Elephas maximus indicus: one gene and its partners. The protein of the gene in region 2 purifies or fractionates together with the protein of the main gene of each other region. This does not show direct contact. Links are inferred from orthologs where the notes say so. Each region holds a gene or a part of one and is shown on either strand. Other genes may lie near its edges.

What was found.
Region 1: the proteins of CLNS1A (region 2) and EPB41L3 purify together in Homo sapiens (affinity purification with mass spectrometry; 3 studies listed by BioGRID and IntAct, with this or other methods). This does not show direct contact. The link is inferred for Elephas maximus indicus from reciprocal best matches to the Homo sapiens genes CLNS1A and EPB41L3.
Region 3: the proteins of CLNS1A (region 2) and GAR1 purify together in Homo sapiens (affinity purification with mass spectrometry; 3 studies listed by BioGRID and IntAct, counting the BioPlex papers as one, with this or other methods). This does not show direct contact. The link is inferred for Elephas maximus indicus from reciprocal best matches to the Homo sapiens genes CLNS1A and GAR1.

What each region holds. Positions count from the first base shown.
Region 1 is NC_064829.1:23,598,102-23,605,901, forward strand, and holds the start of EPB41L3 (band 4.1-like protein 3), read right to left. Parts: upstream 3,068-7,800; 5' UTR 2,764-3,067; coding exon 2,703-2,763; intron 1-2,702. UniProt on the Homo sapiens protein: Tumor suppressor that inhibits cell proliferation and promotes apoptosis. Modulates the activity of protein arginine N-methyltransferases, including PRMT3 and PRMT5.
Region 2 is NC_064825.1:44,460,415-44,467,618, forward strand, and holds the start of CLNS1A (methylosome subunit pICln), read left to right. Parts: upstream 1-4,146; 5' UTR 4,147-4,211; coding exon 4,212-4,351; intron 4,352-7,204. UniProt on the Homo sapiens protein: Involved in both the assembly of spliceosomal snRNPs and the methylation of Sm proteins.
Region 3 is NC_064823.1:41,299,276-41,306,779, reverse strand, and holds the start of GAR1 (H/ACA ribonucleoprotein complex subunit 1), read left to right. Parts: upstream 1-4,500; 5' UTR 4,501-4,895; intron 4,896-4,910; exon of another isoform or gene 4,911-5,167; intron 5,168-5,521; 5' UTR 5,522-5,533; coding exon 5,534-5,747; intron 5,748-7,504. UniProt on the Homo sapiens protein: Required for ribosome biogenesis and telomere maintenance. Part of the H/ACA small nucleolar ribonucleoprotein (H/ACA snoRNP) complex, which catalyzes pseudouridylation of rRNA.

The DNA of each region.
Region 1 (7,800 bases), on a different chromosome or scaffold from region 2:
CATAGTTTGTTATGATCTACACAGTCGAATGCCTTTGCATAGTCAATAAAACACAGGTAGACATCCTTCTGGTATTCTCTGCTTTCAGCCAGGATCCATCTGACATCAGCAATGATATCCCTGGTTCCATGTCCTCTTCTGAAACCTACCTAAACTTCTGGCAGTTCCCTGTCAATATACTGCTGCAGCCTTTTTTGAATGATTTTCAGCAAAATTTTGCTTGTGTGTGATATTGATGATATTGTTCTATAATTTCCACATTCAGTTGGATCACCTTTCTTGGGAATAGGCATAAATATGGATCTCTTCCAGTCAGTTGGCCAGGAAGCTCTCTTCCATATTTCTTGGCATAGATGAGTGAGCACCTCCAGCGCTGCATCTGTTTGTTGAAACATCTCAATCGATATTCCATCAATTCCTGGAGCTTTGTTTTTCGCCAATGCCTTCAGAGTAGCTTGGACTTCTTCCTTCAGTACCATCGGTGCCTGATCATATGCCACCTCTTGAAATGGTTGAATATCGACTAATTCTTTTTGGTATAATGACTCTGTGTATTCCTTCCATCTTTTTTTTTTTATGCTTCCTGGATCATTTAATATTTTCCCCATGGAATCCTTCACTATTGCAACTCGAGGCTTGAATTTTTCCTACAAATTAGATGGTACAAAATTCCTGTATCTTGAGGTTATTAATGATAATTAAATGAGACTCATGTAAAGTCCATAAACCAGCACCTGATAGAGACTGAGTGATGAAGATGATGGCGAACGTGAAGGTGACGGTAATTCTGCAGTTCTGCACACCACAGAAACTGAACCAGGTCAATACGATGAATCTACCAGCTTGTTTTTAGAAAAAAAGTACTGGCCAAACCAGTAACTATTTAGGCTGCACAGCCAGCTTCCCCCAACCCACCACCCAAAAATGAAACAAAACCAAACAAATAAAAAAAGCAAATAACCCCCAAATCAAAAGACTCCTCAATAGCAGGCGGCCATAGAAAGAGAGGGGGCGGAGAGCTGGTGGGAAGACACACTGACCCAGACACAAGGTTGCCTGGGAAGTAGTAGTAAACATCTTTGTTTGCACTTTCCTATTTTTAGGATCAGAGGTTTCTGAAGATTTCCTGAGCACCTCACAAATAAAGTGTTACCTTCAGAAGATTTCCTAGGTCCCAGGCAGAAAGAAGATTCACAAAACTCGGCTCATGATCAGTTTTAAAAATTAGGTTCTGGTTACCGATTCTTACTGGAAGAGAAACTGAGATTTCAGGATGACCGTGCAGTTGGTCATCATTCATAAGGAGGGAGAAGAAAAGACCTGAAGGAGCACAGAGGAAAACACTCAACCTGAATCCAGAAAGGAAATTTTATATGTGGAACTGATGAATCATAACATAACCCAATAGGCAAAACAGCTAATTAGGTGGTAATTGTGTCAAATCAACAACTCACAGCTCAACAGATTAAACTCAAATGACACACATTCCTAAGGATATTTATGGGTAACTAAATCATCTAAGATAAAGACTCTCTAATCACTTACACCAGAGTAGAAAATCGCACAAACATCAATGCCAAATTTCATGCTAATATTCAATACAATTTTAGAAATTTCAAAAATAACTGAGGACAACAACAAATGTCTTTGCTTCCAGCAAGTGAAATCCCGCCATCTCAGCCTGCTAAGACAGTGACACGGTAGTTTGAAATGTATTGAGAAGAAGATTCAAGATAAAAGTGGAATTGATAATCGAAACACTGACTCTCTAAGGAAATATCTCGACCGATTTCTTTTTTTCCAGGAGTCAGCCATACTAAATACTTTAATAAAAGCATAAAAAGTATGGAACCAGTTCTTCTATAATATTATGCCATTCAACGGCTTTCCCCCACACTTGTTTCCCACATCCTCAGGAGCCAGAAAAAAAATGTATTTAAAAGTATATATTTTTTGTAGTCAAAGGCTGCCTGTTATCCAGCCTCCTTTTTCCACAGCAAGGATTCCACCAGCAGAAGTACAACCTTCTTTCCCAAGCCTGAACCTTCACGCAGAATGCAAAAGCACAGGACATCATAATTGGTCAGTTTCAGAAAAAAAAGTTGGAATTTGATATTGAACAGTTTTGCTACCTTGAATGGTGATAACATCTATTAAAGACTAATGGGCCTGAGAAGACTCATGACTCATTTAATGTAAACCCCTCAATTACGCACCATTTCTGGTGGGTTGATATTAGAAACAATGCCAACATCACAAACATAATCACATTTTTATCTGTCATAAATGGTAAATATGATGATATGAAGTGTATTATTTATAGAAACAGCTGAACAGCCTTAAAAAACTCCGTTTCAAGCTACACTGGTGTATTTTCAAATTGCTTGTCGTAAAGAACTATTATTAAAGATGGTATAACCCAAAAGAAAGAAAGAAAACCAACAGCAAGGGTTTAAATAGCAACTTCTGTCATTGAAAATAATTCATCTTTGTTTCATTTGAGTCTGGGTCCTGCTAATAGTACGACTCAGGATTTCTCCCTCACATGCAAGAGGATCAGCTGGAACAGAGGCACATATGGCAAGGCCTGCACACAGCACAGGGTGCGGGAAGATAGTTTTCCATCAAACAATTGCATTTGGCACTTTTCTTCTTCCACAAAGAGGGAAATCAGCAGCTTAAACATTAAATTCAGAACTCACCCATGTTATTCATGTTCCAAAGCCCCAAGATAACATTTTTCCAGAAGATGGGCAGGTCCATGTTCCATGTTCCAAGAAGCAGTGAGACAGGAAGACAAAAAAGGGAGAGAGAAAAAACATTTTAGGAATAAACCAACAAATGAAGGTGACTTACCCACAAACTAAGCATGCTGATAAGAGTTCCCTCCTTTCAAGAAACTTCCCCACTGCCAAGACATGGTGGATTATGGAGTAAGTTGTAGAAAAACAGGGTAGATAATTCATAAGAGATCCAAAGGGATCTCTCTTTAACCTTTTCATTAAACACTCACAAATAAAAACCACAGTTGAATATGCAATAGATGTTTCCAGAAAGATGATATGAAAGAGTTGTATGAATGTATAGGAACATAAAAATAATTAAAGCAAGACTGGACTAAAATAGAGAAAAAAAAACTGCTTCAAGGTAAAGACTTAGGTTGACTAAATATAATAATCAGAAAACTCAGTAAAATGAGTTACATATTCCACCAAGGATTTAACTAAAATAAATCTAATTAGACAACAACAAAGATTAGAATGTATAACCCAACTTAGAGGTGCTTCAGATCAGAACCACAGAATTTGGCTTCTTCAAAGAAAAGACTAAAGAAGTAGTATTATTATCTTTTTTTTTAAATCGAAGTCCAGAAAAAAAATTTTTTACATAGCACAAAATTTCTAGGAGATGAAGATGGCAGAATAGCCAGATGCTTCTGGTGATCCCTCTTACAACAAAGACCCAAAAAATCAAGTGAAACGATTACATTTATGACAAGCCAGGAGCCCTGAATATCAAAGGCAAAGTTAGAAAACAGTCTGAGAGGCAGAGGGAGAAAGAGACGGTTCAGAAACAAAGAGGAGTTGCCAGACCTGAATCGTCGGGATCCCTCAGGCACCATTCCCGGATGCAGCAGCAGTGGGCTGATAGTAGCGTTCAGCCGCAGTTTCCCCAGGGAGAAGCAGCCAGCTGCACAGCCTACTCACACCTCCAGAGCCAAGGAAGAACGGCACTCTCGGCAAAAGCTAAGTACTTGCGTATATTTTACTGTGCCCCCAGCTCTTGGCCGGCTTCTGTGGCTGGTGATTTCCCCAGGCCTGAGAGAGGCCAATCTGAGCACATTGAGCCATGCTCCCAGCCTTGGAGAAGGAATAAATTCACAACTGGGGGAAAAGATAATTTGCCAGCTCCACCACCCAAGGGGAGCTCAGGACAGAAGTGGCTCCTGTCCAGGCATAAATGATCCGTGGACTTTGAATACCTTTCCCCCCTGCATGGAACTGTGTGGGCTGATTTGAGGACAATAGGCCCTTGATGGCAGACTGCAATTGTTTAAGCTGTATGGTAGAGAGGTGGGTGTTTGATATTTGACTCTGCTTTGCCTATTAATAGGGTCCTCACCTACCCACATCAGGGGTCTAAAGACTGGTGGCTCCACTCAGGTCACCCAGCCACCTGAGACAGAGGCCTAAGGATAATGGGTACCTCCGAGTCCTTACAAACAAAAGCACTGGGTGCCCATGGTCCATCTGCAGAATCCACCCACCTGTATGCTCTAGGGAACAGGGACACACTTTCCTCACAGACACTCAGGGAACAGTTCTCAGCCCCCTGCCTTGTTCAGAGCATGACCCCTGCTGCAACTAGATACCAGTACCTACACCAAACACCCCTACCCCTCTAAGATGGTAGGACAGAGCCTGTACCACACACTTGATGACCAGCTACCCAGACACCTGAGCTGAATCCACACAAGAAAAGTGAATGAACTCATAAGCTCATTTACCTGATAAGAGCTCTAGCCATGTGGTGACAGGATATCAGAGCTCCAAAGGCGAAAATAATCAAGGTAGCTCACTCAAGCAACCCATTTGGGCATATCAAAACAAAACAAAGCAAGAAACTAGGATACAGTAAGCAAACATAAAATAAACTAATACAATGACTTATAGATGGCCCGGAGACAACAGTCCATATCAAACCACATAAAGAAACAGACCACGATCTCTTCAATGAGCTCTCGAAACAGAAAATCAAAGGATCTCCTGGACGAAGGTGCCTTCCTGGAATTACCGGATGCAGAATTCAAAAGATTAATATATAGAACTCTTCAAGACATCAGGAAGGAGATCAGGCAATATGCAGAACAAGCCAAGGAACACAAAGATAAAGCAATTGAAGAAATTAAAAAGGTTATTTAAGAAAATAGTGTAAAATTTAGTAAGCTACAAGAACCCATAGAGAGACAGCAATTAGAATTTCAGAAGATTAACAATAAAATTACAGAACCAGACAGCTCAACAGAAAGTCACAGGAGCACAACTGAGCAAGTGGAAGGCAGAATCAGTGACCTTGAATATAAAGCACTTGGAACGAATATATTTGAAGAAAAATCAGGTAAACGTATTTAAAAAAATAAAGAAAACTTAAGACTCATGTGGGACTCTATCAAGAGAAATAACCTACGAGTGATTGGAGTACCAGAACAGGGAGGGATAACAGAAAATACAGAGAGAATTGTTAAAGATTTTTTGGCAGAAAACTTCCCTGATATCCTGAAAGATGAGAAGATATCAATCCAAGATGCTCATCGAACTCCACATAAGGTAGATTATAAAAGAAAGTCACCAAGACATATTAAAATCAAACTTGCCAAAACCAAAGATAAGAGAGAATTTTAAGAGCAGCTGGGGATAAACAAAAAGTGACCTACAAAGGACAGTCAATAAGGACAAGCTCAGACTATTTGGCAGAAACCATGGAGGCAAAAAGGCAATGAATGGGATGACTTACATAAAGCCTTGAAGGAAAAAAACTGCCTGCCAAGAATCATAAATCCAGCAAAACTGTCTCTCAAATATGAAGGTGAAGTTAAAACATTTCCAGATAAACAGAAGTTTAGGGAATTTGTAAAAACCAAACCAAAACTACAAGAAATACTAAAGGGAGTTCTTTGGTTAGAAAATCAATAATATCAGGTATCAACCCAAGACTAGAAGACTAGACAGAGCAATCAGATGTTAACCCAGACAGGGAAATCACAAAAATAAAACAAGATAAAAAAAAAACACTCAAAACAGGGAAACAGCAAAATCATTACGTAAAAGAAGACAACATTAAAATAACAAAGAGGAACTAAGAAACGTAGTCATAGATCTTTCACATGGAGAGGAAGACAAGGAGATATAAAGAAATAAAAGTTACATTTAAACTTAGAAAAATAGGGGTAAATATGAAGGTAACCAAAAAGGAGAATAACAATCCTACCCATCAAAATAAAATACAAGGAAAAAATAGAGACTCAGCAGAAACAAAATCAAAGACACAAGATAAGTATGAGCCCAACAGGCAGAAAGGTCCACATAAACCAGAGACTACATTAACCTGAGACCAGAAGAACTAGATGGTGCCCAGCTACATCCAATGACTGCCCTGACAGGGAACACAACAGAGAACCCCTGAGGGAGCAGGAGAGCAGTGGGATGCAGACCCCAAATTCTCATAAAAAGACCAGACTTAATGGTCTAACTGAGACTAGACTGACCCCTGAAGTCATGTTCCCTAGACCTTCTGTTAGCACAAGACAGGAACCATTCCGAAACCCAACTCTTCAGACAGGGATTGGACTGGACTATGGGATATATAATTATACTCGTGAAGAATGAGCTTCTTGGATCAAGTAGACACATGAGACTATGTGGGCTCCTCCTCTCTGAAGGGGAGATGAGGGGGTAGAGGGGGTCAGAAGCTGGCTGAATGGACATGAAAACAGAGTGGAGGGAAGGAGTGTGCTCTCGTTAGGGGGAGAGCAGTTAGTAGTATGTAGCAAGGTGTTATAATTTTTGTATGAGAATCCGACTTGATTTGTAAAATTTCTCTTAAAGCACAATAAAAGTTAAAAAAAAAATTTCTAGGAGCCATTGTTAGTCTTACAAGTTACAATAATTGCTCTATGAGGTAAGAAATTTCACAGCATAAAATCACATAAAATACATTTTCAAGGAGCTGGAACACCCCAGACTGAAAGCTCATGCATCATGGGCTTTCCACAGAAACAGTCACCTTGGAAAACCCGTCTGCTACTAGCTTACGCAAGGACCCTGTGATCTTCAGGTCCACATAGGCCTCCAGGACCTCTGGCTTACAGATGTACACTACTAATCAGGCCCATCCAAAGTCGCCATCGAAGTGCTGCTTGAAACTATGTGGCTGCCCTGTGCAGACCCAATCTTCAAAGGAAAGAATGAATAAGCAAACAACCGATGTAAAGTTTCATAAAGGCGGCAAATTTAATAGAACCATCAGCTATTAACTCAAGAAACTGATCGTTCCATCAGCACTCAACTGCTAACAGAAAAGTTGGAGGTTTGAGTCCACCCAAAGGTCCCTAAAAGAAAAGCCTGGTGATCTACTTCTGAAAAATCAGCTACCAAAAACCCTATGAGGCAGAGTTCTACTCTAACACGCGAGGTCACCAGAAGTTGGAGTCGACTCGACAGCAAATGGTTTATCAGTAGCTGGTAGGATGAGGGTAGGTGCCTAATGGTCATTGGAAGCAATCATAACAGCCCTGCCTACCAAGACCACAAATGAGCCAGTCGTCAGTACCGACCACATAGCCCTCCAAGACTACAGGGAAGCTGCCCTCTCCTGAGTCCTCCCCATTCTATCCTCATCCACAGACACCTTGGAAAGAGTCTATGCAAGGTCTTCCTAAGGTCCTTCAGATATTTTCAAAGTTAATAACTTGGGATGTGAACCAGTGTTGTGTTTTTAATCTACACTCCTTGCTCCTGGTAGTGAATGGTGGATTTTCTTCTCATTGCAGGCATGCAAGCTTGAATTCTACTGGCCGAAGATATAGCTGACCTTCTCTCAGACTCTAACTAATGCTATTCGCCAAAGAATCAGAAAAGGGAACACACTGGTGCATAAATTAAATGCTATGGTGGAGGCATCGACTTGAGGGCACTGGGGTATGGTGGAAGTAAGCCTAAATATCAGCCTTCAAAGGCCTTCTGTCCAGTTTCTCTCACTGTGCCCTGTATACCTGGGCCTCTCTCACAGGGGGCTGATCTC
Region 2 (7,204 bases):
CCATGGACTGCCAGAAGAACGAACAAATCAGTCTTAGATGAAATACAGTGAAAATGCTCCTTAGATGCAAGGATGGCGTGACTTTGGCTCACTTACTTTGGACACGTCATCAGGAAAGACCAATCACTAGAAAAGGACACCATGTTTGGTAAAACAGAGGATCAGCGAGAACAGGGGAAGCCTTCAATGAGATGGAGTGACACAATAGCCAAAATAATGGACTCGAACATACCAACAATCACGAAGTGGGCAACTTTTCGTTTTGTTAGACATAAGGTCTCATGAGTTGGAGCCCACTCGATGGCAACTAACAACAACAGTTTTTAAGACTCAAAGTCAGTATTCTTTCTACGACAGCTTCTTCTAATTTAAAGATGCAAGTAATGACCCCACTAAGCTTGCATGCTAAATAAACACTCGGTCTCACCGTTTCTTGGGTTACTAGTTACTATTTCAACCAGTCATTTCTGATTTCTATCTGAAAACCAAATTAACAGCAGAGAAAGTCAATTCCCTAAGTCACAGAGTATCCCGTTTGTAATATTTTTGTAATAGATTTAATTTCCTTTTAATGATAAATTAATATGTTTATCAAAGAAAACAAAGAAAAGAAAAAAAAATTAAACAGCAGCCCCACCATTCAGAGATAACCACCATTTTAGTGCATTTCCCTTTAGTATTTTTTATTTGCAGATTAAAAAAAAAAATTATGATCTTTATGAATAAAGATCCTTCATAATAAATTTGAGTTTATAAAACCGAACAAAACACTTCATAATTTGTAAACACCAGATGATCCAGGTGTGCAAGAAGTTTTGAGGGAGAGTGAAGAGCAGAATTTTTGCTCCTGGGTCAGCAGTGGCAGCTGATGGAACATTGGAGGTTTTCAATAGAGAAAGGCAATGGCAACTGAGGAAGCAGTAGCAGGAGAATTGGTACCATTTTGGCCCTAAACCCTAACTGACAGGCTTTGAAATTTATTGTCTCCCAAATTGTTATGTCTGGTCAGGAGATCTCTGGCACCGTATGTTATAATGTCAGCTGCTTTCTTGAATTTAAATTACTGTCTTCTTCAGACTCTTTCTGGCATCTGAAAGAATGAATGCCTGCTAACAAGGCGAAGTTGTGGCATTTATGGGATGATCACCTTTGAAGCCCAGCTGTGAGGAAGACCAGGCCACATCGACAGGCTATGTATAGGTATTCCAGTTGATATCCCCGTCTTAGTTATTTAGTGCTGCTTTAACAAAGACAAATTTATTCTCTCACAGTCTAGGAGGCTAGAAGTCTGGATTCAGGGTGTCAGCTCCAGGAGAAGGCTTTCTCTCTCTGTCAGTTCTGGATGAAGGTCCTTGTCATCAATCTTCCCCTGGTCTAGTTGCTTTTCAGTGCAGGGATCTCAGGTACAAAGGACACGCGCTCCTGGCTCTTCTTGGTTGGTAGTAACGAAGTCCCCATGTTTCTCTGCTCACTTCTCTCTTTTAGATCTCAAAAGAGGTTGACTTAAGATACAACTTAATCTTGTAGATTGAGTTCTGGCTTTTTTTTTCTTCTTTTAATCCTGCCTCGTTAATATCATAGATGTAGAATTTACAGCACACAGGAAAATCACATCAGATGACAAAATGGTGGACAATCACATAATACTGGGAGTCATGGCCTAGCCATGTTGATGCACATTTTTGGAGGACACAATTCAATCTGCAACTGTCCCCAGTGAGGTTCCAGCTGACAGCCACCATCAATTGTCAGGCTCGGAAAGAGGAAATTTGGGGAATCTCTAACCTATCTATTCCTCGTACATATTTTCAACCAGTTCACCTACTTCCAACTCCATCTATCACCCTCAAGGATATAACCTTACTAGATCATACTCTTCTTACTCTCAAGGATATAACCTTAAGAGTAAGATGAGTATGATCTAGTAAGAATGCATACATACAAAGCTTAATCCTTACTATCACTAGAAAGGAGAAATACCTTTATAACCCTATCTAGTTCTAATAGGTGGTGGTTTGTAGTGAAAACTCTGGACTTTTCATAAAAAGGCATGAATATAATTTCTAGCTCAGTACTAGTAATGTAGCATTCATCAGGTCACTTAAGTTCTCTGATTCTGTTTCCTTATCTTTAAAATGGGCATAATAATAGTCACCCTCCTTACTTCACAGAATTACCCTAAGGATCAAAGAAGATAATGAGTGAGAAAGCATTTTTTTTTAAAGTAAAAGACTGTTCAAATGTGAGATTTATTCAGTGCCTACTACTTGTATTAGCCACAGAGATTTATATAAGAAACAGAAAGCACAAATCTTGTTCTTTATATTCTTAGTGATATGCCATAGTTTGCTTTCACAAACATTTACGTGATCGCATCCTTCTGAGCCTAGCACTGTACCAGGTGCTTGAAGACCTCCTTGTTGTAAGTCAGATCCCTATTCTTCAGTTATAAAGCATGGATGAAGTGTTTTGCCATTAGACAATCACTCTTTAAAAACAACACTATGAAAACTAGGTCAAGTTGCTATGAAATTATCAGATACTGGTGTTAGCCAATTTTCTTCCAGTGTTATTTGGGGGATTCCATTTCTGAGCAAAGTGTTGGATGTTTCACTAAGTAACCGGCCACATCTAAATGTCCTTTGGGTAACCTTAAATTTGCCATTTCCCAAATTAAATTTGATAGCTACTCTCAAAACCTCTGCCTCCTCCTGAATTCTCCATCTTGGAGAAATGAACTAGCATCCACTCAATCACTAACTGAAAATTTAGAAATAATCTTTGAAGTAGCCCTGGAATCTGTTCCCATCTCCATCCTTACTGCCATTCTCTCATCTATACTATGGCAACAACTCCCTAATACCCTGCCTGCTCACTGTCTCCCTCCTCCAGCCCATCCTTCAAACTACTACTAATCCCAGTTTAAAAATGTAATCCTAGTTTAAAAATCTAACATTTCCCTAGCTGTTTACAAGATAAAAATTAGATTCCTCACATGTCGGTCCTCCAGGGTTAACAGTCCTATGGCATAGGTATGATCATATTGAAGTTACAGGTAAGAAAAGAGGAACCTAGAAAGACTGAGTGGCTTGGATTCCACTAGGTTTCTCACGCCAAACTCTTGCTCTTGAATTTAATGCCTCAGGTTTCTCATCTGCAAAATTCAATCAATAGCAACTTCTTCATAAAGTTGTCCTAAAGAGTAAAATAATACTGTGTGCGCTGGAGTCTATTCCAACTCACAGCGACCCTATAGGGCAGATGGGGTTTTCTAGACCATAATCTTTACGGGAACAGATAGTCAGGTCTTTTCTCCCTCAGAGAGGTTGAGGTTCAAACTGCCAAACTTTAGCTTAGCACCAGAGCCTTAACCACTGCACCACCACGGCTACTTAAATGAACTAATAACATGGACAACGTGCCTAGAACAGTGCCTGGCACATAACGCTCATTAACCTTATTTTACTATGATGATTTTTAAAGGTTTTATTGCTCTAATGAAGACTGGTGAATTTTTTTTTTTAATCAGCGACCCATCTCCTTACTGACAATAGTCAGCTCTTCTCCCTGAGTTAATTTTACCTCTCTGTGCTCTTTTGCCCACCTGAGACGTGGGGATGCGTCGCTCGTGCAATATGACAGTGTCAGGACCTAGACTGCTGTCTGGTGCACGGCTGTACAAAGTCGATGTGTGAACAACCCCGGGTGAGGCGGGACCAGGAGAGTAAAGCTTTGAACCCAATTAGGAGACTTCTGACATCTAGACATGTGCTGTTTCTACTCCGTGTGTGACCTCAGACAAGGAACTCCACGTCTCGGGCCTCCATTTCCTCTTTTGTAGTAAAAGAGATAATAATACTCCTCGTGCTTCCTCTCTCGCAGGGTTGTTGTGACAACCTCGAAACAAGAGGCGGGAGAAAGCTTCGTCATTCCAGGCCGAAGAGTCTCAAAATGGGGGGAGGGGGAAGGAGAGAAGGGGGGGGGGGGCAAGGTATCACGTGACACACTCGGCAAGGCATCACGTGACAAACTCGGCAAGGTCTTGGGAAACCTCCGAGCGTTTTTCCTAGAACGGCTCATCTCTATGGTTGGCGGCCGCGCAAATGCCTGTCCAGAAGGTTGTTCTTCCGGGGCGATTGCGGCTGCTTCCGGGGCGGGACGCGGCGAGCTGGGTTTACAGTCATCTCAGCTCCCGCCAGGCCCGTATCTCGATGCTCCCTGTTGCAATGAGCTTCCTTAAAAGTTTCCCGCCACCTGGCCCGGCTGAGGGGCTTCGGCAGCAGCAGCCAGATACTGAGGCTGTGTTGGACGGGAAGGGCCTCGGCACCGGAACCCTTTACATCGCTGAGAGGTAGGGTCCCTGTTACCGAGCTCTGGCCTCCTGCGCGCTGCCTTCTCCCTCGCACCGGCGGCGCCGAGGAACAGGAGAGAGACTGCGACCACGGTGGCTGCTGGGAGGGGCAGTGTGTGGTCCGCATCACCTTGGGGATGCCTCTGCTGGGAGGAAGACTCGTTTGTTCGTGTGTCTCCTGCCCCAGAGCATTTCTTTCTCTATTTCAGACGGAGTTTTCCTCCCTGATTGTGCTTTCTATCCGCCTACAAACTGGAGGTCTGGCGCGTGCGTTGCTCCTTACTCATGGGCATGGTTTTGAGTTTCTAGGCCCTGACTTCGTGTCCTATGAACAAGTGCGGGACAGGTTGCCCTGGGCAGGATGTGTAGGTTCAGTACAGGTTGTAGAGGATTTTGAATGTCTAGTTAAAAGAGTTTAGTTTTTTTCTGTAAGTGTGGGTGGGGAGAGGTGCACCCCTGACCCAAGGCTAGGGTCATAATCAAAGGGATCTGACTCACATTTCTTGGCCCTAGAGTGGATTTCTCTTTTCTTTTGCCATCTGAAACGCTTTGTACTTTCACAGTCAGACATGTCTTAAATTGAATACTTATTATCAGCCTTGCTTGTTTTAAAACAAATAACCCCAAAGATGTGTCAGATTCGACCTGCGACTCCCAGGAGTTTATTCTCTACTTGAGGATTAAGTATGTGAACAGTTAAATAAGTTAGCGAAGTATTGGGACTATAACAAGGCAACTGGAGATTAATAGTTAAGTGAGTAGTACAGATAGTGCTGGGGGATGGGGAAGTTCAGAGTAGGGAAGAATCACCGTAAGGAGAGGGGAGGTTGTAGAACAGGGTCTCTTAATTTGGTTTAAATGTAGGGCCTTTAAGGGGGTCTGTGAACCCCAGAAGTTACATGTAGGGTTTGACTGCATTGTTTTTGTGGTCTCTGACATTAGATTCTAAAGGAGTTCAGTGACCCCAAAAAACTTTAAAAGGACTTATTTATAAGGAAGGATGACCTGGAGGGAAAGTAGGATGTATAATATCACTGCTGTCGAGTCGATCCTGACTCATAGTGACCCTATAGGACAGAAGAGAACTGCCCCATAGAGTTTCCACGGAGCATCTGGTGAATTCAAACTGCCAGCCTTTTGGTTTGCAGCCGTAGCTCTTAACTACTACGCCATGTGGGGAGGAAATAGGGAAATATCAATAAATAGGCAAAAGTCCCAGAAACCTTCAAATACAAGGGCAAATTTAGGGCTAGTAGTTGGCTTTGTTTGCAACACGCAGACCCTCAGGGAACTCAGGTATTCTTTTCCCAGGTAGGCGCAGGACTCTATGTATAGACAGACACACTTTTTTCTTCCTCTTTTTTTTTAGTCGTACTTTAGATGAAATTTTATAGAACAAATTAGCTTCTCATTAAACAGTTAGTACACGTATTGTTTCATGGCATAGGTTAATAGCTCTATGACATGTCAACACTCTCCCTTCTCTACCTTGGGTTCCCTGTTACCAGCTTTAGACACACACACTTTTATTTAAGGAACATCTGAAATTATATTTGTTTAAGCAGGTCCAGTCCCATCTTTTCCATCCTCCCTGCCACTCTTTCATCCTTAAAAAAAAAGAGAGAGATGGAAATCCTAGTTACCTAGGTCACCTTTGTTATTTCATGGCCTGACCTTTACCCTAAAAATAGTTATACTCTGCCAGGTATCACTCTTTCCCACTTTCACAAAGTGGTATTCAAATAGAAAACTATGCTTATCATTTTTTTTTCCCCTTTGGTAATCTGCTAAGGGGCTTCAGTTTTTTCACTTGCATGCTTTCAAACTCAACCAGGCCCTCACTCCTTTTTATCCCTTTATTTGACTGTTTCAGATTTCTAATTTCATTGCCCATGTTCATGGCCCACATTTCCATACATTTCCAGCCTCTCTCCCTTTATCCCCCATCCCCTATCCCTGCCCCTTATGTAGATGATGGGAGCTTAAAATTCTCCTTGGCAGCTCACCTTCTCAGTCTTTTTTACTGGGTCAGCTTTATCTCCCTGAACTCTAAATGTTAGAGTGCCGTCATAGTAAAAGCCAAAGATCGGACTTCACAATTGCTTACAAGGCCCTCATGATCTTACTGCCTCCCGCAACCTCTCTAACCTCATCTACTACTTTTTCCTTCAACTGCTCTGTTCCAGACACATTGACTTCCTTGTTTTTCCCCAAAGTTGCCATACATGCACCCACCAAGGTCAGTTTCCAACAAACATGCTGCCATTTTGGTACCTTCGCACGTACTGTTACTACCCCATATGTCCACATAACTTGTTTCTATATTTCTTTCAGGTCTCTGCCAAAAAACCAGCTAGCTTATCAGTGAAGTGTTTCCTTAATCACCCTATATAAATTAGCTCCCCATTCCCATCTGTAAAGTCCCTTTACCTGCCTCTCCTTGCTTTATTTTTCTCCGTAGTACTTACACTATCAGACATATTACATACAATATCCTTTACTGTCAGAATGTGTTGGGTTCTTGAGTAGTTTACTGAAAAGGTTTTTTTTTTTTTCCTATGAATTCACAGCCAAACTAACTCAAATGAGAATTTTCATTAGAACTGGCTGAAGTTTAACGTTTTTCTGAAAATCAATTTCTAGATTGGCTTGGTAAAGAATCTTCATCAATCTAAACTACCCATGTCTAATAGGCATGTCAAACCATGGCATGACCAGAAGAAAATTCCTGTTTTCCTCTTTAAAAGTTGATTCTCCTTCAGTGTTCACTATCATCCTTCCAGTTGTTCACATCAGAAGCCTTGGAGTTATTTTTTGACTTGTTCCTTTCATACCCATGTAGGCAATCCTCAG
Region 3 (7,504 bases), on a different chromosome or scaffold from region 2:
CTCCCTGAGAGGTTACATCTCTTGTAGAGAAAGAAAATCCTGATGTTTTCACAACACACTGCTTTCGTCCCAGAGTCATGCTGGTGTTAGAAACTTTTGGAGATAAAACAAAAGAAGTTCTGGATGATGCTATAAAAATGGTTAACCTTATCAAACCAAGACCAGTTCACTGTGGCATTTAAGCAGTATTTAAAAAAAAAAAAATTTTTTTTTTTTTTTAAGCTGTGTTTAAAACTGTGTTGGACAAAGACAACACAAATCTCCTGCCATGTGCATGAATCTTGTGGCTTAGCAGATCATTTGTTCTGGGAGAAGCCAGCTGACACGTCATGAGAATATTCAAGTCCTTAATCTCTGTGAAGAGGTCCATGTGGTGAGGAAACGAGGTCTCCTGCCAACAGGCAGCATCAACTTGCTAGGAATGTGAGTGAGCCACCTCGGAAATGATTCTCCAGCCCCAGTCAAGTCTTCAGATGACTGTAGTCCCCATGGACATCTTGACGGAAACTTCATGAAACCCTGGGCCAGAACAACCCAGCTGAATTGCTCCTGAATTTCTGACCCACAAATTGTGCAAGATAAATATTTATTGTTTTAAGCCACTAAGTGTTGGAGTAATTTCTTATACAGAAAGAAAAACTGATACTGATTTTGGTTCTTTACAGGATGTTTGAGCTGAAAGGTGACCTGTTAGAAATACTTTCAAGAAAATAGTAAGCCAGATTTTGTCAAGTGCTTTGACGATAAAGATGGCTGCAGAAACTAGTTAGCAGATATTTTTCACCACATGAACTACTTAAAGATGGAGAAAATATTTTACTTCAAGTGATAAGATTTTTGGGGTTAAATGGAAACTGAGTCTTTGGGAAAATCATACTGCAAAAGGAAATCTTGAAATGTTCCCACTGCTGCTTAGATTTGAAAGTGAGAAGTCTCAAGTGTTATTGAAGACCACCTGAGGGGATTGGAGAACAAAATTAAACAGCATTTTTCCTTCCCTTTCAACAGAAATATATGACTGGATGAGGGTTTATTTCTCTGAGTCTTCTTCTCAGCCTGAGAATCTGAGAGAAGAGGAAGAATTATTCTCTGTATAAACATAAGATGAAATGTACTGATCTGCCCTCTACAAGTTCTGGATTTCTGTGAAGGAAATTCATAGGAACACAAATACATGTTTTACTGTACTTTTCAACTTCTCACATGTGAGCAAACCTTTTCTTGTCTCAGGAGCATTAAGAGCAAAGGCAGAAATCATTTCATATCAGTTGAAAATAAAATCTGTGTGTGCCAATCTTAAGTTTGACTCAGAATTGAGCATCTGTGCAGCAAAAGATAAGCAAAGGTTTCACACGAATTAGGCAAATTTCAGTATTTTTCGTTTCAAAAGTAACACTTTATGCATATATAGGCCTATAAAAAGAGATCAAGAAATCAACACATGTGCATAATTTTGTAACTGCTAGGCCTATATTTAGGAGCCTTGGTGGTGCAATTAAGTGTTCGACTGCTAACTCCAAGGCTGGTGGTTTGAACCTACCCAGCAGCTCTGTAGAAGAAAGCTCTGACGATCTGCTACCATAAAGATTACAGCCAGAAAACCCTATGGGACAGTTATATACTACGTCACATAGGGTTGCTATGAGTCAAAATCGACTCAGCGAAACCTAACAACAACAGGCCTATATTTGAGTCTGATCAAGTCACTGAGTAAGAAAATGTATTTTCAAAGTCTTAAGTAAAATTATGTCTTGGGCTATATTTTTACTATTGCTTTGGTTTGTGATTTTAGTAGCTTCACTCTTCCACATTCTCAATACTTTTTTCATTTTGTAAACAACATTAATAAAAATCAATTTGAAGCCTTTACTAAATTTAAATTAGATCTACTGAGCCTACCTTAAAAAAAAATAAAATCCATTTTGCCTGAGGCCAGTTACTCAACAGAAAGTTATGATGTTTGCCATATAAATATTTATAGTTTATAAAAAGGAAGGAGCCCGGGTGGCACAGTGGTTAAGAGCTTGGCTGCTAACCAAAAGGTCAGCAGTTTGAATCCACCAGCTGCTCCTTGGAAACACTAAGGGGCAGTTTTACTCTGTCCCATAGGGTTGCTATGAGTCAGAATCGACTTGAATGCAACGGGTTTGGAAACCCTGGTGGCGTAGTAAAGTGCTATGGCTGCTAACCAAAGGGTCAGCAATTCGAATCCGCCAGATGCTCCTTGGAAACTCTATGGGGCAGTTCTATTCTGTCCTATAGGGTCACTATGAGTTGGAATTGACTTGACGGCACTGGGTTTGGTTTTGGTTTATAAAAAGGAAAGAGATTAATCTCAAGAAAAGTAAGCTAAGCTTAACCTGTTGTCCCCCCCCCCCCCCCGCAACCCCTTCAAGAAAGTTTGGCTAAAAAGTCATTTTCAGTTTTAAATAGAGGGAAAAACCTACTTCTGCACATATCATATACCGCATACCATACCTCGTTAGCATCTTATATAGCAGAAATTTGTGAATACTTTTAGGCCTATTTGGGTAAGATTTAAAAATTCAAGGTTTTTTTTTTTTTTAAAGAAAAGCTGAGGTTTCCTTTCTCATTTAATTTGCATTAGAGTTGATATTCTTTGTGAGGAGGGAGAGCTACAGAGTAGGCTAACAAGCTGGACAAAAATAAACAGATTCATAGAAAAACATCATTATTTACTCAAAAGAGCACTGACAATTATCATTGGATTGTGGAGCACAGTTCTACTCCTGACACACATAGAGTTGCCATGAGCGAAATCGCCAGGATAGCAGCTGGTTTTTTATTTACAACTTCTTGATCATGCTAACATACTGTGGTCTGTATATATAATAATTTTTATGTAGGGGTTCCTGAGACATGAAAAAATTTTTAAGAGTTCCTCAGGTAAAAAGAAAAAGGCCAGTCGAGTGGATGGAAAATGGAGCTTTTCCAAGCAAGTGTTTGACAAAGGGACAGCACAAGATGCAAGGCATGCAGGCTGTCTGGTGATGATGCTGGCCTGCTGGAACGGAGGAATGGTATATAACACAGGAGGGAAACACAACTAATTATATAAAGTTTTATATAGAATGTGGAGATTTTATTTTAGACTCAATGCTAAAGGGAACAGGAAGCTGTTTTGGGTCCTGGGGATGGATATGACATGCGGGAACTGATTTGGAAAGTTCAATATGTCATCATATGCAGTACAGATGACGGGAGGAAGAGTGTAGCCTCGAAGCATAGTTTGAGGTAACCAAGATGCTCAAAATGTGACAGGATGTTGTGATTCACTGTTATTTCTGGTCTTTTGAATTCTTGCACATTTTATAGGGTGATCTAGGGTAGAGATAACATAAGAAAATTTGGCAGCGACAACAGGAGGCCTGTAATAGGTTGTTGACAGTACAAAGCTACCTTAGAAGGAATTAACAGAAATTGCTAGCTTCGGATAAAAGACTGGATTGTGGATAGGTGGTAGGGAAGAAGGAGAGTGCTGAAAGGTTTGAGTCCAAATATTTAGAAAACAAGAGTATGATTGTATCATGAAGACAAACAGAGATTTGGAAACATGAACATTTTGGCAAGAGGAAAGCGGGATGGGTAGAGAAGGACTGAGGACTGTGAAAACCCATTTCAAGTTTCTTTCTAACCAGCTGGGAAAGTTACTTTGCTTCTTGGAATGTCATTTCCTTACTTGTAGAATAAAGGTGGTAGGCTCCAGGTGCTCTTGAAGGTCCCAAAAAAGTTCAATGATTTCATCATACTGAGTTGGAGATAGTAGTGGGACACCAAAAGGAGATAAAAGACCAAACTTAAGTGACACAAAAGTAAAACAGCATGGCAGGTATGAGTAATTTTACTCCCGTATGACAGAATTTAAGTACATTTATCGAATCTGAATTAAAGCTACATTTATCAAATTCATTTTGTATACAGAACTCAGGTGTCTCTCAAAGAGCTTTTAAGTTAGTGTAGAAGACATACTATAATTTCTAACATTTCTATAGTGGAGTTCACAAAGTTCTTTCAAAATCTCACTTAAACTTATAATTGCCTTCTGAAATAGGTGCCAATCCTCACTCTCTTTCAAAGAAGGGATGGTCAGCAATGTCAAATATCAAGAAAAGGTCGCAGAGAATTCGGGTGTAAAAGAATCCAACCAAAGCTAACTAATCGGAAGTTATACAAGCTTTCTTTGGGAGAGAAGTTTTAGCTGGTGGAGGGAAGCTGAAGACAGATGTAGCGAAGGCTGAAGGAGGGAAGGGGGTGAGGGGCAACCAGTATAGGTTGGGGCACAGCCTAACACCAGGTCTATGCTCAAAAAGTACTTGACACATGAATAAACTACCTGGTACCAAAAAAAAAAAGTTTGGCTTTCTATCAGATAATGTAGTTTCTTTAAACGTATATACATATAAATACACATTGTTTTTCTTCCTGCAGCTAGTGAAATCACAGGACAAAAGCACAAGAACAGTTCAGTCCACAATGGTGCGTACTTCAAAAGAACCGGAAAAAACAAAGAATTCCGGAACAAAGAACGCAGACGAGCCCGTCACTGGTTGTGACAGGTTCCGACGCGGCCAGATCCACCTCTGGGCAGAGCGCGGATCAAGAGTCCTCAGAGCTGTGACTGCACGGTTGCTAGAGCGGACAATGAACTGAAGAGCGAGGTCGGGGATCATGTTACTGCCCGAGAAGCTACAGCGCGCGGCCAGTCCGCAGTGACCGCTGGAGCGAACGTGCTCCAAATAGTACCCTCCTGGCTCCCGGGAGAGGTGGCAGAGCCCTAACGCCATCCATCTCCAAGGGCAACAGCGCAGCGGCACTTCCTTTAACGTCATGATGCAAAGGACGCTACCTACGTCACTTCCTCTGCCCGTCGTCAGGCAAGTTGACGTAATTGTTGTAAACTAGCGTTTGAAGCTTGATATCGCTCTTACTTTTACGGGGATGAAACCTGTTTTAGAAAGGTGAAATCGTCGCTGGTCTCGCTGGTGACTGGCTCCTTTTGGCTGGTCAGTTATTCCAACTTCCGGTCGGGGCATTTCCCCCCTCCCACTCTACGCAGATACGGTGGCCGAGGAGGCTCGCGGGTGGTGGAAGTACCGGGAAAGTGGGTGTGCGTGCACCGTCCGGGCCAGAGGTGCACGTGGCGCCGGTAAGTGGCTTTAGGAAGCCCGAAGATCTGAGCGTTCTGGATGTGGAGCGCAGCCAGGGAAGGAGGGAGGAAGGGAGGAAGGGAATGTAGCATGAAGACCTCGGTGCCAGCTGGGGGAGGAGGTACTAACCCTAGGGCGACGAGGATGGTGAGTGGTCGGCGCCCGAAGGTCCATGGAGAGGTGCCACGGCTCACTCCTCGTGTTCGTCACAGGTGCCTTGGCCGTGAGTGGGGTGGTAGGGCTGACCATTATCACTGTCCCCTTTTATGGTTTTCTGACCGAGGCTCAGATGAGTTAGGTGGTGTATCCAGAGGCTACAGTGACCTGAAGGCACGTACCGTTTTTCTCACCAGGTAGGAGAGAGCATGTCTTTTCGAGGCGGAGGTCGTGGAGGCTTTAATCGAGGTGGTGGAGGTGGCGGCTTCAGTCGCGGCGGCGGCAGCAACAACCACTTCCGAGGTGGAGGCGGCGGCAATTTCAGAGGCGGCAGCGGCGGCGGCAGAGGCGGATTTGGACGAGGGGGTGGCCGTGGAGGCTTTAACAAATTCCAAGACCAAGGACCTCCAGAACGTGTAGTTTGTATGTCAGCTCAATGCATGGCTTCTTTGGGACTTGGGGCTTGTGTTGTTAGTCAGAAAGTTTGACTTGGAGTCAGGTGTTATCGTAGGGAAGTTGCTGCTTGCTTGGGGAGGCAAGTCTGTTAGTGAGTAATGTTGTTAACTGACTTATAATCATGCTGTAGCATATGAGGGGGAGACCAAGAAGGTGAAGGACACTTAGAATGCATCATGGAAGTGGAACTTGAGCTTTGACAGAAAGGAAGAGTTGTCAGGAGTCATCGAGTTGGTTCCAGCTTATAGTGACCATGTATACAACAGAACGAATCACTGGTTCTTCGCAGCGTTCAGTCGTTGTTTTGCTTGAGCCCATCCTTGCAGCCATTTCAGTTGAAGGTCTTCCTCTCTTTCCCTGACCGAAGCATGATGTCCTTTTCCAGGGACTGGTCCCTCTTACTAACACGTCCAAAGTAATTGAGAGAAAGTCTCACCATTCTTGCTTCTAAGGAGCATTCTGGCTGTACTTCCAAGACAGATTTGTTTTTTCTGCTGGCAGTCCATGGTGTATCCCCTGTTCTTCGCCAAACATCGTAATTCAAATGCGTCATGTCTTCTTTGGTTTTCCTTTTTACTTGTCCAGCTTTCATATGCATAAGACCCGTAAGAGGCAATTGAAAATACCATGGCTTGAGTCAGGCACACTTCAGCTCTCAGTGACATTTTTGCTTTTTAGCACTTTAAAGAGGTCTTTCGCAGCAGATTTGTCTAATGTAATACGTTGTTTGATTTCTTGACTGCTACCTCCATGGACATTGATTGGGATCCAAGTAAAATGAAATCCTTGGCAACTTCAATCCTTTCTCTGTTTATCGTGGTGTTGCTTATTGAGCCAGTGTGAAGATTTTTGTTTTCTTTATGTTGAGATGTCATCCTCAACTTGCATCAGTAATTGTTTCAAGTCCTCTTCGCTTTCAGCAAAAAGGGATTGTATCATCTGCATACTGCAGGTTGTTAATGAGTCTTCCTCTAATCCTGATGCTGAGTCCTTCATATAGCCCACCTTCTCGGATTATTTGCTCAGCATATAGATTTAATAAGTATGGTGAAAGGATACAACCATGATGCATACCTTTCCTGATTTTAAACCATGTAGAATCCCCTTGTTCTGTTCGAATGACCGCCTCTTGGTCTATGTACAAGGCTCCACATGAGCACAATCATGTGCTCTGGAATTCCCTTTTTTTGCATATATAATTTATGATCCACAGAGTTGAATGCCTTTGCATAGTCAATAAAACACAGGTAAACATCTTTCTGGTATTCTCGGCTTTCAGCCAATAGAGGCTGTTTGAAATTCCAAACATTCTTGAACAATTGAAGAGTCATTGGTGAAGAGGTGGTAGTGGGAATGGGTATGTTTTAACAGAGAAGAAAAAAAGGCAATAGAGAAACAAAGACTGATTCATAGTTAGGGATTGGGGAGAAGGAAGAGAAGTCAGGAGAATGAAGCGTTGTTTAATCAAATAATAAGTGTCATTCTAGTAAAGAAATAAAACAACATTCATTATCCCACTTAATCTTCACAATACCATACATTAGATGGAGGTACCATTATTAGCCACATATTAAAGATGAGGACGTCGAAGCAGACAGAGAGTGGGTAACTTAGATCACATAGTTAGTACATTGTGGAATTGGTATACCAGCCTAGAAAGTCTGATTCCAGAGTCTATACTCTCATTGACTGTTATCTTTTGGCTTAGATGATAATAGTTATGA